Arabidopsis thaliana: one gene and its partner. The protein of the gene in region 1 interacts with the protein of each later gene in a pairwise test. Each region holds a gene or a part of one and is shown on either strand. Other genes may lie near its edges. The genes, in order: TED3 and DSK2.

Region 1 (14,736 bases):
ACGGTAGAGGCGAGAGCAGGTGATTAAAACCCATCCCCTGTGAACGGAGTGAGTGTAGGTGTAGCCATAAAGTTGTCGTCGCTCCTCTGTAAAAGTTTCTTCTATTCGACGATTCCTCTCGACGTTATCATATTTCCTCTCCAGGTTGGTACTATCATCATCCTTGTTCTCTTTGTTTGCATCCCTCCTTCCTTCCTTGCTTCCTTGTAGATCTGCCATTGCCTTTTTTAATCCAAATCTTATATTTCTGATTTACATTGCTTCCGTCAGATCCGACGATCTCACTTTCTCATCATCTGTCGTCAGCTTTTTTGTTTCTTCTTTTATCTCTTTTTATTTTTAAAATAAATATATTGTTGATTCTGGAATTTTCCTAGTAGCTCACGTCACGTTACGTCATGTGTGTGCTTTGAATTTTAAATTGACTCGCAAGGCTGGTTTTGATTATGTGTAAGTGATCGCTGGACTTCACACACACTAACAAGTAGCACTTGAATGAAGCTTTCCTTTAATGGATTGATTATTTAATAAATTGCGACTTTGACGTCTTTGAGCATCCATCCATGTTGAAGAATCCCATTATTCGTATGCTTTTCTTCTATGGCCTTGCATCAGTCAGCACTCAACTTGTTTGAATGTGCAGGAGCGTGTTTCCAGAGGGGATGGATTCTGTTCGACGCACTTACACCATTATGCGAGGTCGTCACATAGACAAGCGTGTTCCTTCTAAAGAGTTTCTCTCTGCTTTGGATAAAGCTGAAACTGCAGGTTTTTTGTACCCACCCTCATAATAGTCATGATTTTACTCTATTGCCTACTTTTTGGTGCACACGGACAGTGTTATATATTTTAAAGACCACTTCTGATCTTTTTATTGTATTTGCTCATCAACTCTATATTGCTTGTTTGTGTTTTAGACATAGCATTGTACCTAGATATACCACTTTTTTCTTGTTGCCTCAATATCTTGAAACTTCTTCTGCATAGACTGACTCTTGACTTTTCTCAACTCCAGTACGTCTTCCTACTGGGACGGGAAAAGACTGCGGGAATCCTTCCTGGAAGCGATCTCTGCCTCACGTGCTCGTTGCTTCTCTGACTTCGCTTTTATTCGGCTATCATCTCGGGTCTCTCCTTGTGACATTTGTTCTCCCTTTTTCCTTTTTTCTTTTTCATCTTTGCATTTATAGACCAAACATGGAAATTTACTTCTCATGATGCTAGGCTATTATCTTTTTCTTTCGTAAGCTTATTTTTCAGGCTCAAGTTGTATTTCTTCTCGATGCATTGTTTTTCTTGGAGCACTCGATAACATTATCTATTTGCCTCAATGACTCAGTTTTTTATAAATGTATATGTCTGGGAATAATAGCAAATTCATGCCTCTTTTCTGGACACAGGGTTGTTAATGAAACTCTCGAAAGCATATCAATTGACCTTGGCTTTAGTGGGAACACCATAGCTGAAGGTACCTTACCTATCCAAGAAGACAACTTACTTGTTTTTCTGTTTATCCAGTCTTTGTGTCTATCTCCCGTCTGATCATTCCAAAAACCTTTTTCTGATGGATGAAGGTCTTGTGGTTAGCACCTGCTTAGGCGGCGCCTTTATTGGGTCTCTGTTCAGTGGGTTGGTAGCTGATGGTGTTGGGCGCCGTAGAGCTTTCCAGTTGAGCGCTTTACCAATGATTGTTGGAGCTTCTGTGAGGTGATGTTTTGTTCAGGTTAATTGGGGGTTTAGGCTGTTCAGTTCACATGACTAAGTACTTGTTTCAGGTTCTTATGGTATGATATATATTTTTGGTTGAATGTCTATGTGGGCACTTGAACATTTCAGATTCGAATCTTTGCCTGTTGATTTGCTGAACCTGTGGTCTAGGCTAGTCATTATGCAGTTGGATTATCTCGTAGTGATTTCCTGCTTGGATGTTTATAGTTATAGCGTGGTGATTTTAACATATTTGGCCTCATTTGAACATATTTGGTCTCAAGTCATTGCCATGGTGATTTTCACTTATCCCAAGGTGTACTCACTAGTTAGGTTAATTCATCCTGTTTCTCTTTTAGCCAGAGTCCATTTATGTAATCATGAAATCTGTGTGCTTACAAGTGTGTTGTTTGCAGTGCATCAACTGAGAGTCTTATGGGCATGCTCCTGGGAAGGTTTTTGGTCGGAATTGGGATGGGCATAGGTCCTTCTGTTACAGCTCTCTATGTCACTGAGGTACTTGACATATACGTTGAAGTCTTTCTTATCTGCACTTGTTTTGATAGGATTGCTACATGAAATTTCTTCCTCACTTTTGATGTGAATATTACTTGGCGTATATTATTTTAATTATGTCAAAAGATGTTTGGAGTCAATGTAAATAGATGTCTATTTCAGACATAAAAAGACTTGAACTTGGAACCATTAACATGCAGAAGGTCATTGACGCACATAATTTTCATTGTAATAAGGACTTCAATCTTGAAAGCTATATTCGCATTATTGGATTTATTTAATGTGAAAAAGAAGGTTCTGGGCACACAAATATCACTAACTCGCTTTGTCAATACATCTTACATTCATACTTAGAGCAAGACTCACAGTTTCTCTTTGCAGGTGTCACCTGCTTATGTGAGAGGTACATATGGGAGTTCTACCCAAATCGCAACATGTATTGGACTCTTAGGTTCGCTGTTTGCTGGAATCCCGGCAAAAGATAACTTGGGCTGGTAAGATGTTGATAAGAACTCAAGGAATAGATGACTTAACAGCTTATATGGCCTGTAACTCTTCGAGGTTGAAATTATTGCAACTCTGTGCCATCTGTGACTTCCAAACGCATGGTAGTTCACCCTTTTTGCTTGCTTTAGGTGGCATGTTTGATCCCCGTTGTCTATTCCAAACCCACCTATATGCAATGTGAATCTCTAGTGCCTTGTTAAAATGCTGCAACTCTATAGGAACCACCTCATCTTTTGCTGCAAATTCATTAGTGATTTTGACATGAGAACCGCCTTTGTAGGGAAAGAAATCCTGGAGTTTCTAAGCTACTAGCAGATCACATGCTTTGGTCTACTTGGCTGAATTACTAGTTGAATAGGTTTCTCTTTCTTGATTGGTGTAGGTGGCGCATATGTTTTTGGATATCCACAGTCCCAGCTGCAATGCTTGCTGTCTTCATGGAACTCTGCGTGGAAAGTCCTCAGTGGCTTTTTAAGGTTACTGTCTAATTTTAACCCGCATAGCTCTTAAAGACGTTTTGATTTTTATAAACCATTTCTTTGGTTGATTCTTTTTCTGTTTAACCGTAGAGGGGAAGGGCAGCTGAAGCTGAAGCTGTGTTTGAGAAGCTATTGGGAGGGTCGTACGTCAAAGCTGCTATGGCAGAGTTAGTGAAGTCGGATAGGGGAGATGACGCCGATTCAGCCAAATTGTCGGAGTTGCTTTTTGGACGCAGTTTTAGAGGTATGTGTGATCTTTAACCAACAAGATTGGTGAAAATGTGTGGCATTAGTTCGATGTCAAATATCACGGAAATATTAGATCTAGATTTTTATTCATCAAAAAGTTGAATCATTTGCACGGAAGGTATGTTAGGTGGCTAAACTGGATCCATAGCCAAAAAAATGACATTTTCATTTGCCAAAAACATACATATAGATGATGTGTAGCCTCTTAATTACCTTCATTTTTACGTTTAAATTTTCTCCGATTGCAGTGGTTTTCATTGGATCTACCCTTTTTGCTTTACAACAGTTGTCTGGGATAAATGCTGTGTTCTATTTCTCATCAACTGTCTTCAAGAAAGCTGGTGTACCTTCAGCCTCTGCAAACATATGTGTAGGAGTTTGCAACCTCTTAGGTATTGAAATGTGACTTTTTCTTGTACATTCTACTATGGCTTGAAAGGCCATCATATTCATGATAAGCTAGATAAGCAAGTAGGTGAATGCAGTCTTCCTGAATACAAACACAACATTAGGAACAGTAAACTAATCACTGGTTTAAGTGAACAACCTTCCTCTTACCACAAAGATGATGATCTGAAATCTTTCCTTTCAACATGTTGATGATCTGTATTTAAAACGAATGTGAGCATCATTCATACTCTTGTACAGGATCAACTGTTGCTGTGGTTTTGATGGATAAGCTGGGGAGAAAAGTGTTGCTTATTGGGAGTTTTGCGGGCATGGTAATTGTTGAGGCAAAAAGTGCTATTTGAATCAAACTTTACGCAGCTAATATTTAATAACGCTCCATGTATGTAGATGTAAATGTTTATCATCTTTAACAGGCAGTATCGCTGGGTCTCCAAGCAATAGCATATACTTCGCTTCCTTCGCCCTTTGGAACCTTGTTTCTCTCGGTTGGAGGAATGCTGCTGTAAGTTTTCTATCACAACAACAGCACTGGAAAAGGGGGATGTTTTATTTTGATAAACTAGGGGTGTGATTACGAATGCAGGTTTGTGTTGTCGTTTGCAACTGGAGCGGGTCCTGTTCCAAGTCTTCTCCTGTCTGAGATATGCCCTGGTCGACTTCGAGCAACTGCGTTGGCTGTTTGTCTTGCCGTTCACTGGGTATGCCTTTTTTTTTTTTTTTTTTTCTCTTTGTGGACTTTTTTAGGAAATCGATAATGTTGAAATAATAATAAGCTTGGAGAATTACACGCTACAACAGGTTATAAACTTCTTTGTCGGGCTGCTGTTTCTGAGAATGCTGGAGCAACTAGGTTCGGTGCTTCTAAATGCAATATTTGGGTTCTTCTGTGTGGTGGCAGTCATCTTTGTGCAGAAGAACGTGGTTGAGACTAAAGGAAAGAGCCTACAAGAGATAGAAATCAGTCTGCTCTCTTCCACCCAGTGATTGATCTCTTTATTCTGAGAATTCGTATTATTCTTCTGGCTCTCTTTTTTTCCTTGGAGAGACACAAGTAACGTGTACCTAATATGGAAGTAGGAGTGAGTAGTAAGTAGGTAAACAACATGTAAGGAAATGGATATTATTCATTCGAGTATAGCCAACGTTTCAACTGATTTTGTAATAAACATAAGACCAAACTTCATTCAACAATGGTAGGTTCTCAACTCATGTACAGAAGTGCACCTATCTAATTTTTTTGTTGCATCACATTCATGATGTTCCCTTATTGTATAGTCTGTCTGCAAACAAACACCTATCAGATTCTTCTCTGCTTTCGGCTGCTTGCCTTGGCTTTTTACACTTCCACTATTGCATCTGCTTATTCTTCAAGACTTGGTGGCATGACTCAACAATTTGTCACCTCCATTCATTTGCCACTTGAAACACCTTCCCGTTGTATGGCAACCACAGGCTCGTTACATCTAAGACACCGGAACGATGCTGCTGAAGCGCAGCGGGTCCTTATGCAGTAGTAACAGTACCTGCGACAAGTCAATTCTTTTAAATGTATGTAACAACTACAGCACATACTATGAATTCAACAAGTCAATAAAATCACTTCTGTGTCTTCTCCAAAGTCAGATACACAATCATGTGAAATTTTTTGCTTCTAGTACAATCAGTTATAGTACATGTCTGGGGAGAGAGTTAACTACTTTATTCTGATCCAAAACTTTTGCACAGAAAAATACCATACCTGTGCTGACAAGGCAGAGCTATAAACGGAATTGCAGGATCCACTTGGCAAATAGGGCAAGTCACTGTATCCTCTTTAGTGCTTGAGGACTTGTCCTTGGCAAATGGACTAAGAATATTCTTAACAGCTGAAGAGTTGAGCAGCGGGAGAAGCAACAAAAGCATTTCCTGAATATCACCAAACAAATTTAAAGCTGAATGCCAAAACAGAACCAGGAAATCAGATCCTAACATTACGTTTCTGGTAGCAAGTCTAAACAGAATGTTTTGATCTATTGAAGGATCTGAAAGAGAGAAAAAGCGACAAATACAGTGTTTTGAACATAGACAAGGTATTTGTACTCCAATGAAACTGTTGAGTCACAGGATCTACATAGTTCAGAATTCCAGATACGGACACAATATGTTTTCAGCTTTTAACAGCTCAAGTTCAAGCAGCAAAAGTGTTTCTTCCAAAGAAAAAGTGAAGGTAAGCTGATAGATACTATCATTCAAGAAAATGTTCGAGACCAGCAAGTATCAATCATAGGCCAGAAACCATCAGCCAAGGATGCTACTCAGAACTGACAGGTTGCCAAACTTTTAAATTGATGTTGAACTAGTTAAGCAACACACAGAGAAGACCTACCGAAAATTCATTCCACACAAGTTGCCGATTCATGTACTCGAAGCTGACAGATCGGTTCATATGGGGACTCCTATAGACAAGCCTAGCTTTTAAAGCTTTTTCAATGAGGTTCCTATACCTGGATCAAGAAAGAAAAAGAAGAGTAGCGGAAGTGAGAATCATCAAGGTATTTCTGTTTGTGATTTTGGTTCTTGTTTCGATATTTCACTGTGAACTCAAAAGTTACCAATGAACTGAATCAGATTTTAAATGGTCATAAGAAGTAACTGCACTGCAGTGTGGTTTTATCAGGATAAGTAGAGGAAATGAAAGAGTCCATGTACCAAGTTGTACCTTCCCGTATAAAGAAATGACAATAGGTTAAGAAAAGAAGCAGCTTTGTAGATGCCTTCGATTCGTTGTACGAGGGTCCAAAGTCGCCTTGCCAATGGTCTCTACAAGTCAAAACAAGGAGAAAAGAATCAACCATAGCGATGGCGTGAGGATGACTGCAAACGGGAGAAAAAAAGAATAAACCATGCTCCTCATACAGACCTGCTCAGAATCACCCCATCTACGGAAAGCAGAAAATGACTGCAAACGGGAGAAGAGGTACTGACCACCAACGGAGGCAACGCAGTACCAAATCTTTTGGGGAGAAGTAAGTCCGGGTCCTTCCAGTCCTGTTCTGACTATACGAGAGTACAAGAGTGATTAGAAAAAAAGGGTGACAGAAGAAGAGTGTTTAGAAAATAAAATAAAAAATACCTTTCCCCAAGTGCTGAGCAACGACTCCTCGTTCATCTCTGTATCTAAGATTCATGAGAGCGTTTCCGGGGGTGGGTTTGTCAACCCAAATAGAGAATCTCCAAATGAGAAACTCAAGGAAAGCATCAAGCTCTGGTTCGTATTGAAAGAGCATTCCTGGCTAATAAAATGCCAAAGAAAGTAAATGGCTTAATAAAATGCCAAGGAAAGCATCAAGTTAGCTCTCTGCTCACCTTCATCAGAGTGAAAACCTTAACGAGCTGTTCCTTCAACATGGCTGACATTTCCACATCTAGTCGTGCTGCGTCGAACTGATTCACTCTAGAGATTGCAACCGGTATAACTGACTGCCATCAAAGACCACATATAATAAGCAAACAAGCCACGACACAAACAAGCATCCCTGAGACAGAACCTACCCGGCGGGAAGCGAGAAGAGACTGCGATTCAGGAAGCAAGCGCTGGTAAGAGCGGATCCAAGCATCGTCTGCAGGCGTAGACGGCGTCATTGGCGGTGTAGCAGGGCTAGGGTTTGTAATTCCGGCGATAGACAACAAGGCAAAGTTGTTTATTGATGAAGCCCGACGAGGGTCTTACCGTCTTTTCCAATCTACAGCTACGTTGTTTGTTTTCTCTCTTTGTCTCACACTCACACCCACAGAGATTCATCCATGTCTCCTCCTTTCTTCTTCTTCTTTCAAAATTGTTTAGTCTTCTTGATTCACCACTTTTATCAGATTATTATTTTGTCTTAAAAGGCTCATATGGTATTAAAGACCCATATCACCAAAAATAGGCCCATAGCAATAAAAAGGCCCATATCTGTTACAAACTCTAGGGCCCGGTTCTATTAGTACTAACGACATAAAATTATCCTTATTGATGATCTCTTAACATTACTCTTAGTTAAGAGATATGTCTTATATCTAACAAAATTGTATTAAAGTCTCTTATTTATGAGACTTTGTTAATTATAAGCTATTATAAGACTGTCTCTTAACTTAAGAATTGTTTTAAGAAACTATTAATAACGATGCTCTTGTGTAGTTTGTTGATAGATTTTTTATTTTTTTTCCACAGTTTGTTGATTGATTTGTTTTGAACAGTGAAAAGTAAAACTTATAATAAATGTCAGAGAAGAACATAAATTGGATTATACCATAAGGGTTCGATGAATGAAACAAAAAGATGAAGAAAAGTAAAAGAGGAGAAGAACTATAAGGGAAACAATTTGACTAATAAGAAATGAAACGAAAGCTAGCAATGGTTAAGAAAAGAGGAATAAGAAGACAAGCCGTAGGCAGGGAGGAGGCAGCAGAAGATGCGGATGCGGATGCGTAGGGAGAGGCAGAATTAGAAAGAGGCGACATGGATGGAGGCATGGAAGCGTCATGGTCATGGTGTTGGTGGATATGCATGACTTCTACGATGAGACGCTGGCCGCTGGTGCAGTGCTGGTTGGAGCCGCTGATGAAGTAGAAGAGACCAGGACGATCAAGGTCGAATGTGCTGTTTCCATTGTCAAAGGCTGTAATGGGATCGCTGCCGTTGCAGTGGTAGAAACCCCATTTGTCTACCTCCATCACCGAGTCCTTGTCGTACACAAACGCTGACATATTTTTGATTAGAAACCAATCAATTATTACCGATCATGAATGATAAAAAAAAGAAAACACAAGTTGGGAACAAGCTAGCTCACAGAGTGAATCACCGATGTGGAAGCGGTTGCTGCTGGCCCAGTGGCTGTAAACCGCTGAATCATTCTGGAGTGGGACTCTCCACCCGAACTCGTCTCCAACCTTGAAATCCCTAGGACCTTCCGCCGCCATGGAAGCCACCACAAGGGCACAAATGCAGAGCATTAGTGTTAGATTACAAGTAGATCTCATCATCATCATCATCATCTTCTTGTTCTTTTGTAAGTATATAGTATGTTTGAGAGGAATTCGTACGTAGCTTTGATGGTTGTGTGTAAAAATGAAGGTGGCTGGCTCTGCTTTATATAAACAAGGAGAAGGAAAGTGGCGGTTGAGCTCTCCGAGGCCGAGGAGTCGTGGAGATGAATTTGAAACGGTTTTTATTTAATTCATTCATTCTCCTTCGTGCTGCAAGTCATGGGCCACTTCTTCTTCACCACGTCATCCTAATTACTGACGTGGACCAATCACCTTCTCCTCTGCGATTTTCTCTCTAAACGCTGCGTTTCGACTCCCCTGTTGTCATTTACAAATGATGATGATCGGAACTAGAAACTAGGTAGTTTCTGATGGCGGCGGCGGCGATGCACACATCGGCGGAATTCATCAATCTGAAACCCAACATGTGGAAGAAGAATCCTGTTCGGGCCTCGGGTTCTTGCTGTCTGGGCAGCAGCAGTGGTGATGAAATCTCTCGGAAAAGGAAGCTTCCGATTCTCCTCTTCGACGTCATGGACACCATCGTCCGTGACCCCTTTTACCAGGACGTTCCGGCCTTCTTCGGGTGAGAAAGTGAAATCCTCGAATTTATTTCTCGATTCATCAATGATAAACTGAGGTTGTGGATCAGAATGCCAATGAAGCAACTACTAGAGTGCAAGCACCCGATGGTCTGGATCGAATTTGAAAAGGGTTTGATTGATGAGGTGAGGTACCACCACTCTTTCTTTCTTTTTTTCTTCATATTATCTCCTCTGACTTTTGGTTTTAGGAGGAGCTTGCTAGAAACTTCTTTATAGATGGGAGGGATTTTGATTTGGAAGGTGAGATTGCCATATAGATAGATAGGTAAATACACAGAGAGAGGGTTTCCTCGTACCTATTTCAATCCTCTTTATTGCAGGGCTTAAGGAGTGCATGAGGTCAGGTTACTCCTACTTAGATGGCATGCAAGAGCTCCTTCAAACTTTGGCAGCTGACGACTTCGAGATTCATGCTTTCACTAACTATCCCATCTGGTTTCCATCCCTTGCCTTTCACTCTTTGAAACGGAGCTTCATGTCTCTTTGTTTACTCTTGTCGTGTTTCCATAGGTACAACATTATCGAAGACAAGTTAAAGCTTTCTGCCTACTTATCATGGACGTTTTGCTCCTGTATTGCTGGTACATCACACATCTCTTGCCTCTTTTTACTACTTATTGCTTGTCAGATCCAAACCATTCCTACTACATACAAAGCTCCTCATGTGTTATATCTTTCAGGGAAGAGAAAGCCTGATCCAGAGTTCTACCTCGAGGTTGTGGGACACCTCGGAGTTGAACCTTGCGACTGTATATTCATTGATGACAGGTTATAACATGAACTCAATGCCTTTATAACTTAAAAGAAAGAAACCATTTTGATCTGAAGGAGTGTCTGATACGCAGGCCAACCAACGTCAAGTGTGCTATAGAGATAGGGATGGGTGGGTTATGCTTTGAGAATGCAGATTCGCTCGCTAAGGATCTCTCAGATCTAGGGATCAACGTCTCTGTACCCAAATTATGATTGTAATTTCATCACAACGCATCATCTTAAATGTATTGCATCAGAGAAATACTCAAAAGAGAAATACATTGTTTTTGGGATTGCAAGTAGAGTCTTTGTTGGATTATATAAAGCAGCGAAAATATTGAGACTAGGGAGTGGAGAGCACAAGGACAGTAAAGAAGGAAGAGGAAGCGAGGAAGATGAAGGAGAGGAAGACTAAGAGGAGAGACAGGGCGACATGATTGCAGAAAGAAGAAAGGGTCTTGCAGAAGTCGGGGAGAGGAGTGTGCCTGATGCCGGTTTTGTTGAGGTTGGTAACTCCGGAACCGGCTGATCCAGCGCTCATCATCAAATAACAAAAGAGCTGCGTGCACACAGTAAATCAAATGGGTTACATTCGGAAGAAAAGGGAATGGAGAAAAGGAGACGAGGAACCTGATCGGAGGTGAAGCAAAGCCAAGCTTGGAAGCGGGAAGGCGTGATGGGAGATCCGGTGACGAGTCTGTAAACACCGAGGCAGAGCTGTAACAGGGAGTAGAGCACGGTCCCTGCGCATGCCCCCACCACATACCTTAACACCAAACAACTCTTTCTTAGTGAGATGAATGAAATATACACTATATATAATCACAAAGTTTAAAACTAGCTAGGACACACAATAATGTCATGTTGTTGTTTGGTTCACGGATGTGTTTCTGTTCACCGGAATATCTGTCATCCGAACACACACATTCTGTTTTGCTGCTTTTCTTTTATTATAATATATATATATGCATTCAGATAAAAAGAAAATTCTAATTGCTATGTCTGTCCCTAATTATAATGCTCGTAAGAAGAAGAAGACGAAGAAGAAGAAGACTGACTGGTAGGAGGGAGAGAAAGACCAGTTGGAGGAGAGAGTGAGCTTGAAGCCGTAGATGTCTGCCACTCCCTCCTCAGTAGCGGTCAGCATCACCGCCATGGCCGTGGCTGAAGCAGCCAAACAACCTCCCCTGAGAGCCACCTGCACTAGCTCCTTAATTCCCTTCCTCCTCCTCTTCGCCACCACCTCTCCCCCTTCTCCATTACTCGTCATTCGAACCCTTTCTACGTTGTTTGTTTGTGTGATATGCTCCTGCTTTTTTATTTTTATAAAACTCACACACAAACTCACTCCTTCATTCTTTATACCACAACAAGTACTCTCTTTTTCTCCTCCACCTTTTCCGTGTTGCTGCTTCCTCCTGTTTCGCTCTCTCTTTTTTTTATACGACTTTGTATTTCTTTCTTTTATAACAAAAAAAGACGAAAGTTGTGAATCAAGCCTAGCTCATTCCTTTCTTATATATTTATTTATATGTAATTTAAAAAATGGGATGGAAAAATAAACATCTCTATTGGGGGACTTGTCTATCTCTATGTACATGAGCAGGTACAATCAGCGTGCCTCATGTTCTCTGCTTATTAAGACGCAAATGCCAAAGAACCCGATTTGAATGATATTTGTATTTACTTTCTCATATGTTTCACATTCTCCTCCTTATAACATCAATTAATATTTGTATGTACGTGGACGATAGGTTAATTAGATTTTTGAGATGTGATAGTGTTATAACTAATACTACAACAACTGAGAGAAGAGAAATTTGAGGAGTCACAAACTTAAATCTATATATCCGGAATTCAACGGAGACAGAATTTAAAGGAAAGGGGATACAGCCAAAGAAAAGTTGACACGTGTCGTCATAACAGATATACGAATAGGTCGTCCACTCGGCCGGGTGGTAAACTAGCGGTTATATATGATGAGTTCACCTGAATAAGAGATTTGCAAGAATGGACCCATCATTGATCATCCCATCCCACATCCATTCTATTCCTCTGAATTGAAAATTTATAGCGAAAAAACAAATCTATATAGACAGTTCATGATCCCTTCATTTCTATAGAAAAAAGTATCTGGTTCCTTTGGATTGAAAGAAACGAAAATACATAGGAATTAAATACAACTTATATTACGCTTGACCAGGATATCTGGATCAGTTTTATTAATTAGTACTGTAGTATATATATATATATGAGTGTTTAGAGTACTAGTAGCTATAGCTAGCTAGGGACTAAATTAAACGTTAAGATATTAGAAGAGACAAATTAATTAAGGTCCCTGGTGATGGCAGGAATACAGCTTGAAGTACGGGAAATGGCGGGCTTAGGGATAATAGACTGACCCCTCGTGCTTCTCCGGAGCATATCTCTCATGGCATCAGCTTGGAAGAGAGCCGGATACTCCCTCCCGAGCTTGTTGAACCTGAGGCAGGCGCTCATGTGCTCCTTCAAGGCCCCTTCTAGCCCTTCCTCTTCCCTCTTATCCCTCTCCTCCTTCACCGCCTCTGAGCACAGTCCGCATATCCACTTCCCAAAGAACTTCTCCCTCACCCTCTCTATGTACTCCATCGTGCACTCCTCCCTCATCCCGCAGCACTCGCACTTTGCCTTCTCTACCTCCACTATCGTCCCCAGTCCTTTCTCTTCTTCTCTGTGATAATCCAGCGATATGTCTGACAGGGACCTATGCAGTGACTTTTTCCCTACCTTTGGCGGGGGCGGCTTCACCAAGCTTCCGCTCACGCTCTTCCTTCTCCCGTTTGCTGCCATATCCAATCTTCTTTTTTTCACCTAGAGCGTCTGCGCTAAGCTTTGGTATTTATAAGCGGTGCTGTCTGTGTTGACATATTCATGTGTATTGTGTGGTTCAGCATTGCCATCTCACGTACGTGCTCACGCTATAGCGACCTAGCTCTTTACTTACTCTTTGTTTTACTTTTCACAACAATACTAATTAATGAAGCCACTAATTCACGTGCTACATTGCAACTGGATCCTAGCCTTTAATACAACTCTTCTAAATTGGTATATCTCTCTCTGTATTGAGTTCATGCATATATGGGGATATATACAAACAAAAACATTATTTATTTTTTGTCTGCCGTCACTAATCGATCTCAACTAAACTTTTGTCATTTTTTTAATGAACTGTAAACTTGGTGTTCATTTCGTTCTCATTAATGTAGTTTCCTTAGAGATTGCAAAAATTAGATACATTTTGTAGCATGAAATCTGAATTATAGAAGGAAATCAGATAAGCAAGTGTGCAAATATACAAAAATGTGCTATTCGAGCTAAAAGTGAAGATACAAACAATTACGTACCAAAAGCAAGCCCTCAAGAATTGTGTGGAGGTAAGTAAAAGGAACTATATGGATCGCAGAGACAACGATATATAGGTCACGTGTGTGGGAGTTTTGTCTAACCACACATATAAGAGAGGAACAACATGGACTCGAGGAAGACCACTCGTAATGAAGTTAAAAGTTGAAACTTGTAAATATTATCAATCCCAACAAAAAGAAGAAGAAGAAAAAATATATATTGGTTGTTTTAAACTCACTTTTGCGATAACTTGGAAAGTGGGAGGACGCTCACGTGCATGCATACATTTCTTGTCTATTATATGTAGCTGATTCAACATAACTCTATATATCTTGTTGTCTATATTGCATTATAGTTACACTTACATTACATACGTAGTGTGAAAACGATGCATAGCATTACTATACATCAAATCTGTGCATATATATACACGTTACGTTTCTTGCAGTGAAATACTCGAAGGTGGATATGTGCTCTTGCACCACCTAATTAATCTCGGGTTATGTAAGAATTACTTCAGAGTTCAGAGTATATATCTATGTGATTCTTGCGCAGTGTCAAGTGGATTGGGCATGAGATTGATAACCGAATGGGTGAGGGGTCAAATATCGTTATTTGGATATAGCGGGATTTTAAACTGAATGATTGGGCCATGCATTGCTTGGGAAAAAGGCTAAAATTAAACAAGATTGAGATACACATTACCCACTTGTATTTTAGTTTCCAAAGAAAAAAAGGAAAAAAGGAGCAACAAGGCAACAAGTATGTAATGATCAAGGAAGTAAAAAAGGGAAGAGGAGTGTGAGAAAGAGAGCAAAGAGGAGCTGTTGGAAGAGGGAAATGGTCTTCTTCTTCGTCCTTTTGGTAATTTTTCTGCTTGTGTTGTGGAGAGTGGTAGTACTAGTGTAGAGAAAGGATATGGAAATCAGATTGTGATGAAGATCTGATTTGTAAAGAAGGGGCCTCCCCACAACGCCCTTGAATCTTCCGCTCCAGCCTTGATCTCCGATTGTGACGATCACCGCATCGGGACGTGGGGAGAAGGAGACCCAACCTCTTTTGGAGTAGACGTGGAACTCTGCATGGCAGAAGTTGAGACATAGAGAATGTCTTTCGTC
Region 2 (15,525 bases), on another chromosome or scaffold:
GTTTACATGATAAAAAATATAGCTTTTGAACAATTATTTTAACAACAGTAAATATTAATTTGCTATCTTAAATTATAGTATAAAAGTGAAATTAATTATTTAAAACTATAATCTAAACATATTTATAATCCAACCGTATAGAGACTTGTTGAAAAGTAAAATAAAGTTTTCAAATGAAGAAAATACAGAGGATAATTGTAGGGGCCTTGATTGTTTTCTCTTTATTTGGTGGTCTCATGTAAATTATTTTTCTTTATAGTTGACTTTGACCTTTAAAACCTCTATAATTCTCTCTTTCCTTATTCTTCCTCAAATCTTTGCACCACCATTCTTTTATGACTCAGTCTTCTCTCTCTCTTCTCTCAATGCCCATGATAACACCAAACCACTTGCTTCTGCTTCTCACACCACAAAATTCTCTATTCAATAAATAAATCTCTCAGAAGAAATTTCTTCGAATTGGAGAAGATAAAAAAAGTTTTATCTTTTCTTGATTTTTTTTCTTTTTTTTCTAATCATTCACACCCAATTTAAACGAGACTTGTCCAATCTCTATCCATCAATATTGTATCATTTCTTGTAAAGTACTCTGTTTTAGCTTCACACGCCATTTTTTGTTTTTCCATTTGACTTCTGTAAAATCCTGACAAAGAATTGTTTAAGACATACATATACGTGTTATATATTTGTAAAGGAAGCAAAAAGTGTTTGGCTTTTAATTTCTCTCTGTTGGGATGGGTCTTTGTTGGGGATCTCCATCTGATTCTCCTCCAACAACAACACCTTCCTCTACTGGTAACATCAGTTCAGGTTTGTCCTATCTATATCTACTGAATTTTCCCATCTGGGTTTTGCTTAAACTTGCGTGATACGTTGCAATTTCTGTACTTGGTTGTTTGATGCATAAAGGTTACGCTTTTACATCTTCTTGTATCGTTTGTGACTCTTCTTTTGGTGTTATCTCGTATGGGTTCTATGAAAGTTTTGACCTTTTGATTAAAAGACTCTGTTCTTCTTGTGTTTTTGTTGAATCAGATTCATTATCATACTTAATGCTGTTTGTGATCTGTTATGTGACTCTCTGTTTTGGGCTTGACTTTGTTTTCTTGTGGTTGTAATTGAAGTAGGGACTTTTAAGTCATCAAACAACACGACGACTACAGGAACATCAAGGGGAAGTAACATATCTAGCAATAGTGGGTTCTCTGTGGCAAGTGGTGAAGATGCTTACCCCGATGGTCAGATACTTCCCATTCCGAATTTGAGGATATTCAGCTTAGCAGAACTTAGAGCTTCAACAAGGAATTTCAGGTCTGAGAATGTTCTTGGAGAGGGAGGATTTGGGAAAGTCTTTAAAGGCTGGCTTGAAGACAAGACTCCAGGGAAACAAAGCAACGGAACTGTGATTGCTGTTAAGAAACTGAATGCAGAAAGCTTCCAAGGATTCGAAGAATGGCAAGTGAGTAAAGTGAACTATGGGAAACTAGTTTTCTAACTTTGATATACAAAGTGAAGTTTTGTTTGCTGAGTGGATAGATTCTTTGTTGGTTGTTGTGCAGTGTGAAGTGAATTTTCTTGGGAGGGTTTCTCATCCAAACCTCGTGAAGCTGTTGGGATACTGCTTGGAAGGTGAAGAGTTGCTTCTTGTGTATGAGTATATGCAAAAAGGGAGCTTAGAGAATCATCTCTTCCGAAGTAAGAACATTCTTTAATCAGAATCTTTTGCTTATATGCACATTTACATCTCGATGTTTCGATGTGTAATTGCTTCTATTACTTCAGAGGGGTCTGCCGTTCAGCCACTCTCATGGGAGATAAGGCTTAAGATTGCAATAGGAGCAGCTAAAGGCTTAGCATTCTTACACGCTTCAGAGAAGCAAGTAATTTATCGAGACTTCAAAGCGTCAAACATTCTACTTGATGGGGTAAGTACATACAGATTGCTTATGGATTTGATGTAGCAAATCATCAAGTGTGAAATTTCAACTGGTTTGCTCTTGATGCAGTCATATAACGCAAAGATATCAGATTTTGGATTGGCGAAATTAGGACCTTCCGCTAGTCAATCTCACATCACAACACGGGTTATGGGTACACACGGTTACGCAGCTCCAGAGTATGTTGCTACAGGTACTACAATGTTTTGTATTCTTAGTTCTTTTGGTTTCCAACAACAAACTGTGAACATGTTTGTTGGTTCCAACAGGTCACTTGTATGTAAAGAGCGATGTTTACGGGTTTGGCGTTGTTTTGGCTGAGATCTTAACTGGTTTACATGCGCTTGATCCTACTCGTCCTACCGGGCAACACAATCTAACCGAATGGATCAAACCTCATCTATCCGAAAGAAGAAAGCTAAGAAGCATAATGGACCCTCGTCTAGAAGGAAAATACCCTTTCAAATCTGCTTTCCGAGTAGCTCAACTGGCTCTGAAATGCCTTGGACCCGAACCCAAAAACCGTCCATCGATGAAAGAAGTGGTGGAATCGCTCGAACTCATCGAAGCTGCCAATGAGAAACCGTTAGAACGAAGGACCACTAGAGCTTCCCCATCCATCCGTCAACAACAAGGCCATTATCGCCCGCAACAACTCTCTTCGTTTCGTCCTAGACAAAACGTGTCTCGAGCTCACTAGTGTTGTTTGAAGACACTGAGATTCTTTTCTTAGTTTTGTATTTGTTAAGATTATCAAAACCCATTCGTATGTATACTACATGAAAGAGAAAACAAATGTTGTACCTGTATTAGTATGTAGTGTTTGGTGTGTGTAATATAACTACTTAAACGGTTAAACCAGATTATGAAAAGGTTTAACTAATGGTCATCAATATATAAGCCATTGTTCACACAATTTTGTTGTTAAAGCTTCAAACTTTAGTTGTGGTTTGAAGTATGGTAATGGGATCACACTTGTGTTCAAAGCTACAAGCTTTGTCTTCGAAGATTAAGCAAGCTTCTGTTAGTGGAAAATGGCGGGAAGTGGTCTCTGGGTATTCAGAGATACAGAGAGCTGGAGTTCAATTTAACGATCCTTTCGTTTTCCCCATTGTTTTTAAAGCTTGTGCTAAGCTCTCATGGCTGTTTCAAGGTAGATGTATTCAAGCAAGTCTGTTAAAGAGAGGTTTTGAGTCTTTTGTTTCTGTAGGGAACTCAATTGCTGATTTCTATATGAAATGTGGAGACTTGTGTTCTGGGTTACGAGAATTTGATTGTATGAATTCGAGAGATTCGGTGTCTTGGAATGTTATCGTTTTTGGGCTTCTCGATTATGGTTTTGAAGAAGAAGGGTTATGGTGGTTTTCGAAGTTGAGAGTTTGGGGTTTTGAGCCTAATACTTCAACATTGGTTCTTGTGATTCATGCGTGTCGTAGTTTATGGTTCGATGGAGAGAAGATTCATGGCTATGTGATCCGTAGTGGGTTTTGTGGGATTTCGTCTGTTCAAAATTCGATCTTGTGTATGTACGCAGATAGTGATTCTTTAAGTGCACGTAAACTGTTCGATGAAATGTCTGAAAGAGATGTTATTTCTTGGAGTGTTGTAATCCGAAGTTATGTGCAGAGCAAGGAACCTGTTGTTGGATTGAAGTTGTTTAAAGAGATGGTTCATGAGGCGAAAACAGAGCCTGATTGTGTGACTGTGACAAGTGTTCTCAAGGCTTGCACGGTGATGGAGGACATTGATGTTGGAAGATCAGTTCATGGGTTTTCGATACGGAGAGGTTTTGATTTGGCAGATGTGTTTGTTTGCAATTCACTTATTGATATGTATTCAAAAGGATTTGATGTTGATTCAGCATTTAGAGTATTTGATGAGACCACTTGTCGAAACATTGTTTCATGGAATTCGATTTTGGCTGGGTTTGTACATAATCAAAGGTACGATGAGGCTCTTGAGATGTTTCATTTGATGGTGCAAGAGGCGGTCGAAGTGGATGAAGTTACAGTCGTGAGTCTTCTCCGGGTTTGCAAGTTTTTTGAGCAGCCATTGCCTTGCAAGTCAATACATGGTGTAATAATTCGGCGTGGATATGAGTCAAACGAAGTGGCTTTGAGTTCTTTGATTGATGCGTATACAAGCTGCAGTCTTGTTGATGATGCAGGAACCGTGCTTGATTCGATGACGTACAAGGATGTGGTGTCATGTAGCACAATGATCTCTGGATTAGCCCATGCTGGCCGATCCGATGAAGCAATCTCAATCTTCTGTCACATGAGGGATACGCCCAATGCTATCACCGTCATAAGTCTTCTTAACGCATGCTCAGTTTCAGCGGACTTGAGAACTTCCAAATGGGCACATGGGATTGCTATCCGGAGAAGCTTAGCCATCAATGACATCTCAGTTGGTACCTCTATTGTTGACGCATACGCAAAATGTGGTGCCATAGAAATGGCGAGAAGGACTTTCGATCAAATCACTGAGAAAAACATCATCTCTTGGACCGTGATCATTTCAGCATATGCTATTAATGGTCTACCGGATAAAGCATTAGCATTGTTCGATGAAATGAAACAAAAAGGTTACACACCAAACGCTGTGACATATCTGGCAGCTTTATCAGCTTGTAATCATGGAGGATTGGTAAAGAAAGGTCTCATGATCTTCAAATCAATGGTAGAAGAAGATCACAAACCTTCATTGCAACATTACTCTTGCATTGTAGACATGCTTAGCCGAGCTGGAGAGATTGATACGGCTGTGGAACTTATCAAGAATCTTCCAGAAGATGTTAAAGCAGGGGCTAGTGCTTGGGGAGCGATTCTTAGCGGTTGCAGAAACCGTTTTAAAAAATTGATCATTACCTCAGAGGTAGTAGCTGAGGTTCTTGAACTCGAGCCCTTGTGTTCTTCAGGTTACTTGCTTGCGTCAAGCACATTTGCTGCAGAAAAATCATGGGAAGATGTAGCAATGATGAGGAGGTTGGTGAAGGAGAGAAAGGTTCGGGTCGTTGCGGGTTATAGCATGGTTCGTGAAGGAAACTTGGCAAAGAGGTTTTTGGCTGGAGACAAGTTAAGCCAGAGTGATTCTGAATTAAATGATGTCGTTCAGAGTCTTCATAGATGCATGAAGTTAGACGATACTGCAGGACCGATAAACTAAAGCCCTTTGGGCCTCAACGAAGCAGATAAATGATATTATTATACGATGCCGTATGTATTCTCGGATCCGGGTGAGAAAAGGAACGAACCGGGTTTTGTTTTTGACCCGACCCGGTCCCTTCGATCCGTTCTCTGAAGCAGAAGTCTTCTTGTTTTGTTCTCTTCGATCCATTTCGTCAAGCAATCTACCGAACCGACTCAGAGCTTTTGAGTCTTCTAAATCTCTATCGAATTTTTCTAGGGTTAGGGCTCCTGATCGATTTCGCGAGCTCTGCGATTATTTTAAGTATTAGGATCCGAAATTAGAAATGGGTGGAGAGGGAGATTCAAGTCAGCCGCAGAGTGGTGAAGGAGAAGCTGTGGCTGTGAACATCAGGTGCTCTAATGGCACGAAATTTAGTGTGAAGACGAGTCTCGATTCAACGGTGGAGTCTTTCAAAGAGTTGGTGGCTCAGAGCAGCGATGTTCCAGCTAATCAGCAGCGCTTGATTTACAAGGGTCGTATCCTCAAGGACGATCAAACTCTCCTCAGCTATGGTAATCTTCATCGTTTCTGATTTATTCGTGTGGGTACTTTTGTTGTTCTCGTAGATCCTTATTGATTGAAATTCTTGTGGATTCTATTCTCTGTGGAACATGTTATACCTAGGTTTGCAGGCTGATCACACCATTCATATGGTTAGAGGCTCTGCACCTTCTTCAGCACCACCTCCTGCTCCGGCCGCAAGCCAAACCACTGCACCTAGTGTTACTCGAGGGGTTGGTTCAGATAATAGCTCGAATCTAGGAGGAGCGAGTCCTGGGGAATCTTTGTTCCCTGGGCTTGGATTTAATCCTCTGGGTGGTGGAAATGCTATGTCTGGGTTATTTGGAGCTGGTCTTCCGGATCTTGTGCAGACACAGCAACAACTAGCTCAAAACCCTAACATGATTAGAGATATGATGAATACTCCAGCCATCCAGAACCTTATGAACAACCCAGAGTTTATGAGGAGTATGATTATGAATAACCCTCAAATGCGTGAGCTTGTAGATCGCAATCCTGAGCTTGGTCATGTGCTCAATGACCCAAGCATCCTTCGTCAAACTCTAGAAGCGGCAAGAAACCCAGAGCTTATGCGTGAAATGATGCGGAATACTGATAGGGCTATGAGTAATATTGAGTCTATGCCTGAGGGATTTAACATGCTTAGGCGTATGTATGAAAATGTCCAGGAACCGTTAATGAATGCTACCACTATGTCCGGGAATGCTGGAAACAATACAGGCTCCAATCCATTTGCTGCTCTGTTGGGAAACCAGGGGGTCACTACGCAAGGAAGTGATGCTTCTAATAATTCTTCGACACCAAATGCTGGAACGGGGACTATTCCGAATGCAAATCCACTTCCTAATCCTTGGGGTGCTACAGGTGGTAAGTAACTGCATTTTCATCTTCTAATCTCCTGTCGATTTTATTTGTCTTTTGAAGGATGCAGTAATATTTTATAAATGAAAAAGTGGCTTGTTTATAAGAAATGGACGTTACTGTTCACTGCTCTGCTTCAGGAACAATATTGTGTATAGTAAATTGGTGAGTTAGTGTAGTTACCACAATTTGTTGTTATGTGTAGTTTTTGCATATGATTTTCTTGGCTTATTGTTTCTAATTTAACATTTACTCATAATACACTAAATATAATTGAACATATTGTGGGCTACTTGACAGGTCAGACAACTGCCCCTGGAAGGACAAATGTTGGTGGGGATGCGAGGAGCCCTGGACTTGGTGGCCTTGGTGGTCTTGGAAGCCTTGGAGGCCTTGGTGGACTCGGTATGCTTGGAGCGGATTCACCTCTTGGTGCGACTCCAGATGCTTCTCAATTGAGCCAGTTATTGCAAAACCCAGCCATATCGCAGATGATGCAAAGCGTATTTTCCAATCCACAATACATGAATCAGGTAGGCCTAGAATGATCTGAACTTAAGAGCCTTTTACCATTGTGAACATATATTAATTGTTTTCCCTTGATTCCAGCTTATGAGTCTTAACCCACAACTCCGAAGCATGCTAGATTCGAATCCTCAGTTGAGGGAAATGATGCAGAACCCAGATTTCCTTCGTCAGTTTAGTTCTCCGGAGATGATGCAGGTTAGTTTGTCCCCTATTGTCTGTATGCATATGAATTTTTAACATGGTAGTCTCTCAAAAGAAACATTTCTTTGTATCTAAGCTATTTTCAAGTAAAGAAGTTTCTTTTCTTTTTTTTTTTTGGGACAAAGTAAAGAAGTTTCTTAAACCTAATGTTTTCTATTGTTTTTTGGTCTTCAGCAAATGATGACTCTACAGCAATCACTATCTCAGAATAGAAATACAGCCAGCCAGTAAGTTTTGTTAAAACCCTTCGTTGTTTGGATTTGCTTAAACAAAGTTGAGCATTTACATGTCCTTTACATATTGTTTTTTGGGTTGTTTAGTGTTTAGACAATGTTGTAACTAGCTAAAAAGATTGGTTGTGAACGATCTCTATAATAAGAAAAGGATTGAACCATGACTAATGCAGCAACTCTTGTATGATTTACTGGGCTGATCACTAGTAACATCTATCAAAGAGGCTATAAATAAAGCATTTTAATCGTTGGAATACACTTGAATAGGGCTCATAACATTTTGTTTGTTTTTGATTATGCCTTTTAGCATAAGCTATGTGTGTTAATCTCCATATTTTGATTTTCATCAATCCGCATTCATGTTCCCAAATCTATCTTCTCTGTAGGGATGCGGGGCAAACTGGTGCTGCCACAGGTACTCTTAAAGATATTATATGTATTTATTCTACAGTAGTATAAAGGGTTTAGTTATGTTACGTAGTATAGCAGCTACTCTTTAGTTCTCTTTGCTTTCATGTATGTTTTATTTTAGCAGATATTGTATCGTATACAAGTTAATAGTAGAATGACAATACTGATGGGGACAGGAAATAACGGGGGGCTGGATTTATTGATGAATATGTTTGGCAGTCTTGGTGCTGGCGGCCTGAGTGGCACGAACCAATCCAATGGTTAGAGACTACAAATTTTTTTTAGCTTACGCATCTGTTGTGATGGTTCCACTGAAACTTGTCTGTTTGATTCCAGTTCCTCCTGAAGAGCGGTACGCTACTCAATTGCAACAGTTGCAGGAAATGGGATTCTATGACAGAGCAGAGAACATTAGGGCGTTGCTTGCAACCAATGGTAACGTTAACGCTGCTGTAGAACGACTCTTGGGGAGTATCGGACAGTAGCATACAGGTTCATGAACTGATGTCTCTCCATCTGGCTTCTCAGTTATAGAATAAACAGCTTGAATGTGTGTTTTTCAGTAATGATATATTCATCGAATTCATAAAAATTTATATATGATAGGATCGTGAACTTTGTTGATAGAAAAGCCGCATCAATACGGTATTTGTTATCAGTGGTCACTCTTCGTCTTTAACTACCCTTAAACCTATATATCTTGGGTGTTTATCTTTGATAACTTATTTCAAGTTGTTACAACATACAACATCTGTAAATGTTTATAGACATCAAAGTGAAATTGAACCCATTAAATTTTTGGTTCCTTCTGATCCGGTTCAAAGGTTAAACCAAATTGCCCAAAGAGAGAAGTGGCATGTTGCAAAGGAATATCCAATTAGTTGATTCATCATCTTCAATTAGATTCAAGTTACAGCCAATTCCTTCCTGAACTATATACCAAATGCCTCAATTTAGACCCGACCCGGCCCAATCTTACCCAGTAAGAGTCGTCGATACGTTCTCTGAAGCGCAAGTCATTTCTGGATTCTCATTTAATTGGCCGTTCGGGGCCAAATAACTCTTTAATTTTCTGCAGTCTCATTTGTTATTCGACCAAAAATAATTTATATCCCTTTCCTCAAGAAATCTTCAGAACCGACTTATTAGAGCTTCGAGTCTCCTCAAATCTTCTTCTACGATTTTTTCTTCTAGGTTTAGAGCTTTTGATTCTCCGATCAATTTCGCGATTTGTTGAACTAGGATCTGAAATTAGAATGGGTGGTGAAGCAGATTCGAGGCAGCCGCTGACTGCTGAAGGCGTAGCTGTTGCCGTGAACGTCAGATGCTCCAATGGCACGAAATTTAGTGTGACGACGAGCCTCGATTCCACGGTGGAGTCTTTCAAAGAGTTAATTGCGCAGAACAGCGATGTGCCGGCAAATCAGCAGCGTTTGATTTACAAGGGACGTATCCTCAAAGACGATCAGACTCTCCTCAGCTATGGTAATTTTCTGATCATTTCGTGTTTCATTTCTGTTGTTCCGTTGCTTTAATTTGACTGAAAATCTCATAGGGTTTCTAGGGGGTTGGAACATTGGATTTATGTTAGGTTTTTACAGAAGCATGGATGATTTTATGAGTTTTGATGTATGCTTAATCCTTCTATGGGAAGAATAAGGAGATGTAGTTAGTGATACGATAATTGATTCATACCATTCTTAGAGTTCCTAATGTTCTCATGATCATGTATCTTCTTGGGATGTATATTTTCTCCATCAATGGCTGTTGTTGATATGATTGTGTTGGATAGTTTCCACGTTTTATTGTTTTGCATCATGAGCCTCAATGTTTCCTTTCTCTGTGGACCATTTTATATATAGGTTTGCAGGCTGATCACACCGTTCATATGGTTCGAGGTTTTGTGCCTTCTTCTCCTTCTGCTCCCGCTGCAAATGCTGGAAACCAAACCACTGCTCCTCAAGCGGTTGGTTCAAATGATAGCTCAAACCTCGGAGGAGGTGAATCTTTGTTCCCTGGCCTTGGATTTAATCCTTTGGGTGGTGGAAATGCTATGGCTGGATTATTTGGATCTGGTCTTCCTGATCTTGAGCAGGCACAGCAACAACTAGCTCAGAACCCTAACATGATTAGAGAGATGATGAATACTCCAGCCATCCAGAATCTTATGAACAACCCAGAATTTATGAGGAGTATGATTATGAATAACCCTCAAATGCGTGAGCTTGTAGATCGCAATCCTGAGCTTGGTCATGTGCTCAATGACCCAAGCATCCTTCGTCAAACTCTAGAAGCGGCGAGAAACCCAGAGCTTATGCGTGAAATGATGAGAAATACTGATAGGGCTATGAGTAATATTGAGTCTATGCCTGAGGGATTTAACATGCTTAGGCGTATGTATGAAAATGTCCAGGAACCGTTAATGAATGCTACCACTATGTCCGAGAATGCTGGAAACAATACGAGCTCTAATCCATTTGCTGCTCTTCTGGGAAACCAGGGGGTTACTACACAAGGAAGCGATACTTCTAATAATATTTCGGCACCGAATGCTGAAACGGGTACACCTAATGCAAATCCACTTCCTAATCCTTGGGGTGCCACGGCTGGTAAGAAACTGTATTCTCATCCTCTTAATTTCATATGGGATTTTACTTGTAGTTTAAGGTTGAAATATTAAATATAAAAGCAAGAGTGGCTTGTTTTTAAGAAGTGAAAGTTTATGTTTACCACACTGGTCAGGAATAGTATTGATTATAGTAATAATTGGTGAGTTCATGTTCTCACAGTTTGTTGTTATGACTAGTTTGTCTATGAATAAGTTTCTTGGCTGTTTGTTTCTAGTTTAACTGTTACTCGTAATGCACTAAAGATTTTAGAACATATTGTGGGGCTACTTGACAGGCCAGACAACTGCCCCTGGAAGGACAAATGCTGGACTTGGTGGTCTTGGTGGGCTTGGAGGCCTTGGTGGACTCGGTATGCTGGGAGCGGACTCACCTCTTGGTGCGACTCCAGATGCTTCTCAATTGAGCCAAATACTGCAAAACCCCGCTATGTCGCAGATGATGCAAAGCGTACTTTCCAATCCACAGTACATGAATCAGGTAGCGCCTTCAGTAATCTGAATTTTAGACATTGTAGCTATTGTGAGGCTGTCTTTAATATTTTAATATTTCCTTCATTTCCAGCTTATGAGTCTTAACCCACAACTCCGAAGCATGCTAGATATGAATCCTCAGTTGAGGGAAATGATGCAGAACCCTGATTTCCTTCGCCAGTTTAGCTCTCCCGAGATGATGCAGGTTAGTTGGGCCCATGTTGTCTCTCCAGATAATTATTTTTATATCATTCAGTAGTCAAATTTCTCCGACCTAATGTTTTCTATTGTTTTTTGGTCTTTTTAGCAAATGATGTCTCTACAACAATCACTTTTCTCTCAGAATAGGAACACGGCTGGCCAGTAAGTTTGGATACCCTTTTCTGTTTTCTTTAGTTGGAACATTAGTTGAGTAGGTAATGTCCTTTATATATCATAATAGGATTTTGGGTTGATCTGTGTTTAGAAAATAGTGTCACTAGCTAACCAGGTAATTCTCTCGGTGGTGAACTATCTTATATTAAGTAATAAATGGGTTGAATCATTAGTAATGCAGCAACTCTTGTATGTTTTACTGGGCTGATCATTAGTGACCTTTATCAACGGCTGTAAAGTATTTTAGTCCTTGAAATAAACTTGAATAGGAGCATAAAAATTTTCGTTCTTTTTTGGTTCTTTCCTTTAACATTTGATATCAGTGATCTTGATTTCCATCAACCTCTATTCATGTTCCCAATCCATCTTCTTTGTAGGGATCCTACGCAAACTGGTGCTGCGACAGGTACTATATTATCTGTAATTGAAGTATGAAGGCTTCAACTAGTTCACTTAGACAGTGTGCTTTTTTTTGTTCTTTTGCTTTACTTTAATCGTATATTCATTACGTTGCTTATTGAGTAAATCACTACTATGGAAATATTTATAGGGACAGCCAATAACGGAGGACTAGATTTATTGATGAATATGTTTGGCAGCCTTGGTGCTGGCGGCCTAAGTGGCACAAACCAACCCAATGGTTAGATTCACTAGGGGCTATACTTTGATTTCTTATATATCTATTGAGATGGTTCCACTGAAACATGTCTATTTGATTCCAGTTCCTCCTGAAGAGCGATTTGCGACTCAGTTGCAACAGTTGCAAGAAATGGGATTCTACGACAGAGCAGAGAACATAAGGGCTTTGCTTGCAACCAATGGTAACGTTAACGCTGCTGTAGAACGACTCTTGGGGAGTATTGGCCAGTAACATACAGGTTCGTGAACTGATATCACTCCACTCTGGCTTCTCAATTATAGAATAAACAATGTGTTTTCTTTCAGTAATCTAATTTATGGAATTCGTATAACTACATTTATGATAGGATCGCGAACTTGTGGATAGAAAAGCCGCTCATCGATACACTATTTGTTTTCAATGGTCATCTTCTTTCCTCTTTACCCAATCCCCACAACCTTTTTTACATACTTTGGGTCGTCTGTTATCTTTCAGATTCTATTTGAAGTTGTTACCTCGTACATCTGTAGAAGTTGATTTCGAAATGTGGAATGGTTACATTTACGTTTTCTTATCTCCATTTTACTTATTAAATATAGCTGTAGTGACGTTGATAATTTGTGATTGAGCGTTAAGTTTTTCATTCGAATAACAAAGATAAATACAATAATAATTGAAAGAAAAACAAAACTTATGAGGAAAACAAAAAAAGAAATGTAAATCCGACAAAACAGGGAGAAGTAACTGCTAAGAAACCGTCGATGAAAACTAACTTGTTCTTCTTCTACTTAACCAACCATAACTCCCACTCTTCTACTTTTTTTTTTCCTCTCTTTTAGTTTTTCTGTCTTCTCTCTAGTAAGAGACTCAATAATAATGTCGAACACTTCAAACTCCGATCCCAATTCCGATATCCCATTTGCTTCCTCCAATGTAACTCTTCCTAGTTACAATCAAAACCCAAGAAGAAAACGTACTAAACTCACCAACAACGAAGTCGGTTCTTCTTCGTCTTCTCCAAGGCCTAAACCGGTCACGCAACCGGACCCTGATGCTTCACAAATCGCACGACCATGTACTGAATGTGGTAAACAATTCGGGTCACTGAAGGCACTCTTTGGACACATGAGATGTCACCCTGAACGTCAGTGGCGTGGCATCAACCCTCCTTCTAACTTCAAACGTAGGATCAACTCAAACGCTGCGTCATCATCCTCGAGTTGGGATCCATCTGAGGAAGAGCATAACATAGCCTCCTGTTTACTAATGATGGCTAATGGTGATGTCCCAACCCGTTCAAGTGAAGTTGAGGAACGGTTTGAGTGTGATGGTTGTAAGAAAGTGTTTGGGTCACATCAAGCGTTAGGCGGACATAGAGCAACACATAAAGACGTCAAAGGATGTTTCGCCAATAAAAACATAACCGAAGATCCTCCTCCTCCACCTCCTCAAGAGATCGTTGATCAAGATAAGGGCAAGAGTGTGAAGTTGGTCTCGGGGATGAATCATCGATGTAACATCTGTTCTAGAGTGTTCTCCAGTGGTCAAGCGTTAGGAGGTCACATGAGATGTCATTGGGAGAAAGATCAGGAAGAGAACCAAGTCAGGGGCATTGATCTTAATGTTCCTGCGGCGACATCTTCAGACACAACGTTAGGTTGTTCCTTGGATCTTAGGTTAGGACTTTGATATATGATAACTTAAGGTTTTATATATTTATTGGGTATTTGGTTCTTTCTCTTAATTAACAAAAAACTCTCTCTGTATATATGTGTGATACTTTGTATGATGAACGTATAGGATTGTGGTATTGTATTCTATATATAAGTTAATTAGTTTATGAAATGCAAATAGAGTTATTTACTAAATGTCCAATATTCAAGAAATTAGCTTTATGAAGTTTAAAACGTTGAATCTTTTTCCCTATGTAAAAAGTTTATATTGTTTGATCATACATGTATATGTATCATGCATGGATTATGGTGTTTCTTCACAGTGTCAGTACACTAAGTGAGAAAATCAAGATTCTTCTTCCCTAAAAATGTTGCTTCGAGAAGAGTTACTTTGTTGAAGCTATTAGCAGATTCAGGGTGGAAGTTGTTGTTGACTCGAAGATGATGCCACATCGTGCTGCTTTGTTACTTCATGCATTTCAGAAGATGAAATCTACAAGCAAAAAGATTTGGTTTTATAACATGAATGCGAAAAATCTTCAGGGATGAAATTATTGTAACAGTAAGCCTCCTTACTTCTTTTTTAGCCTGCAAGGCTTTAAGTGTTGCAACAAGCTTTTTAGTGATGCCATTCTCTATATAACCCTTCCACTGCAAACATTCAGAGGCGAGTTTTAAAACTATAGTAGCTTCTTCTGTAGAGAACTTTCCCTTCAGATTTGGATCCATGAGCTCAGTGACATCCTTTCCATTGATCATCTCAGGAGCCTAGAAACAGAGGATAAATAACCACTCAGTAAAATGTAACTTGTGTTGCAAGAAACCAAGGATTCCACAAAGTCAAGCTTGAACAGAATTACTTACATGGCTCGGAGAAATTTGCAATCCAGTTAGCAGATTCACAAGGATAGTACCAAATCTGTATGTCACATTCCCAGTCCTCACGTTCCCTACAATGAGAATATAAAACATTACATTCTGATATGAATAGTCTGAAGATACAAGAGCGAATTGGTTACCTCCTTCTCTTCGATTGTAACGGATGATCTCTTTCACCAAGCCGAAACTAGAAAGACAGGCATCACCATCCTTCAACACCAGTAAAAACAGTTTAGCATCCTTAGATCACATGACAAGGCATAGGCATGAAAAATGTTGTTTAACATACCTTATCAAACAGAACAGTGTAAGCACTTAGATTATCGTACTCGTCAAAACGTACAGAATTGCAATAATCCAATGCTTCAACTATATGATACGCCACTCGCAACCTCATTGACCATTCCATGTTCTTCTCTGTGCATCACAAAAGAAAAAAGAAACCTCAAACAGAGAATGCTAATAAGTTCTGTTTCAATCAATTCTACAAGCAGATACATTTACACCATTCTATAGCATGTCACATAAACCAACAACAATGCACTCTCTCTATCTTCAGATACGTTTATACCATTCTACACCCACAATCATGCCACAAAAACCAACAATGCAGCCTCTCTGCCAAGATTCAAAACAGAGCACATACATCTATAGAACAGATCGACTAACAATCCAGACTCTTAAGCTCATATTCACCAATTCTATATCTGAAAACGAAAGAAGAGAAGGAATCATACCCTGGAATAAACGCTTAGCAAGAGTATCATTTGGCATAAACTCTGCAACAAGAAGTCCTTCATCTTCCTCGCAGCAATATCCCAACAACTTGACAAGTCTCTTGTGCTTTAGCTCCCCAGCTGTTTTTGCGTCTTCCTGAAGAAACAAAAGAGATCAAATGAACGTTGCAAACTTTGATAACCTTTAAAAGCAAAGAAAAGGTACCGTGAAGTAGTCAGGATCATCCCAAGGCGTATTCTTGAATCTCTTGACAGCT

Evidence for each region.
Region 2: the proteins of TED3 (region 1) and DSK2 interact in binary tests that used the Arabidopsis thaliana proteins (3 or more experiments, as listed by UniProt).

Annotation. Positions count from the first base shown.
Region 1 is NC_003070.9:30,012,698-30,027,433, reverse strand, and holds TED3 (Pex2/Pex12 N-terminal domain-containing protein / zinc finger (C3HC4-type RING finger) family protein), read right to left. Parts: upstream 7,691-14,736; 5' UTR 7,491-7,690; coding exon 7,401-7,490; exon of another isoform or gene 7,397-7,400; intron 7,329-7,396; coding exon 7,215-7,328; intron 7,142-7,214; coding exon 6,982-7,141; intron 6,906-6,981; coding exon 6,769-6,905; intron 6,669-6,768; coding exon 6,568-6,668; intron 6,353-6,567; coding exon 6,235-6,352; exon of another isoform or gene 5,775-6,234; coding exon 5,608-5,774; intron 5,393-5,607; coding exon 5,278-5,392; 3' UTR 4,948-5,277; downstream 1-4,947. Other genes in the region: SGB1 (Major facilitator superfamily protein), read left to right, coding at 663-768, 1,016-1,127, 1,401-1,468, 1,575-1,707, 2,124-2,223, 2,605-2,717, 3,113-3,206, 3,300-3,453 and 5 more; ENODL7 (early nodulin-like protein 7), read right to left, coding at 8,217-8,590, 8,681-8,885; FHY1 (Haloacid dehalogenase-like hydrolase (HAD) superfamily protein), read left to right, coding at 9,248-9,462, 9,529-9,604, 9,670-9,721, 9,802-10,062, 10,162-10,249, 10,327-10,447; AT1G79780 (Uncharacterized protein family (UPF0497)), read right to left, coding at 10,578-10,793, 10,865-11,000, 11,293-11,504; AT1G79770 (CASP-like protein (DUF1677)), read right to left, coding at 12,560-13,063; DTA4 (downstream target of AGL15-4), read right to left, coding at 14,392-14,736. UniProt on the Arabidopsis thaliana protein: E3 ubiquitin-protein ligase component of a retrotranslocation channel required for peroxisome organization by mediating export of the PEX5 receptor from peroxisomes to the cytosol, thereby promoting PEX5 recycling.
Region 2 is NC_003071.7:7,474,978-7,490,502, reverse strand, and holds DSK2 (ubiquitin family protein), read left to right. Parts: upstream 1-5,262; 5' UTR 5,263-5,412; coding exon 5,413-5,641; intron 5,642-5,753; coding exon 5,754-6,518; intron 6,519-6,812; coding exon 6,813-7,045; intron 7,046-7,121; coding exon 7,122-7,235; intron 7,236-7,415; coding exon 7,416-7,468; intron 7,469-7,860; coding exon 7,861-7,889; intron 7,890-8,061; coding exon 8,062-8,145; intron 8,146-8,221; coding exon 8,222-8,370; 3' UTR 8,371-8,622; downstream 8,623-15,525. Other genes in the region: Kin3 (Protein kinase superfamily protein), read left to right, coding at 735-810, 1,125-1,459, 1,560-1,695, 1,783-1,925, 2,007-2,130, 2,207-2,637; AT2G17210 (Tetratricopeptide repeat (TPR)-like superfamily protein), read left to right, coding at 2,895-5,105; AT2G17190 (ubiquitin family protein), read left to right, coding at 9,142-9,370, 9,748-10,494, 10,790-10,992, 11,077-11,190, 11,293-11,348, 11,738-11,766, 11,911-12,000, 12,083-12,231; DAZ1 (C2H2-like zinc finger protein), read left to right, coding at 12,856-13,668; AT2G17170 (Protein kinase superfamily protein), read right to left, coding at 14,065-14,145, 14,229-14,420, 14,517-14,602, 14,672-14,741, 14,821-14,948, 15,269-15,404, 15,474-15,525. UniProt on the Arabidopsis thaliana protein: Binds and presumably selects ubiquitin-conjugates for destruction. Prefers multiubiquitin chains rather than single ubiquitins, with a binding affinity for 'Lys-48'-linked ubiquitin chains.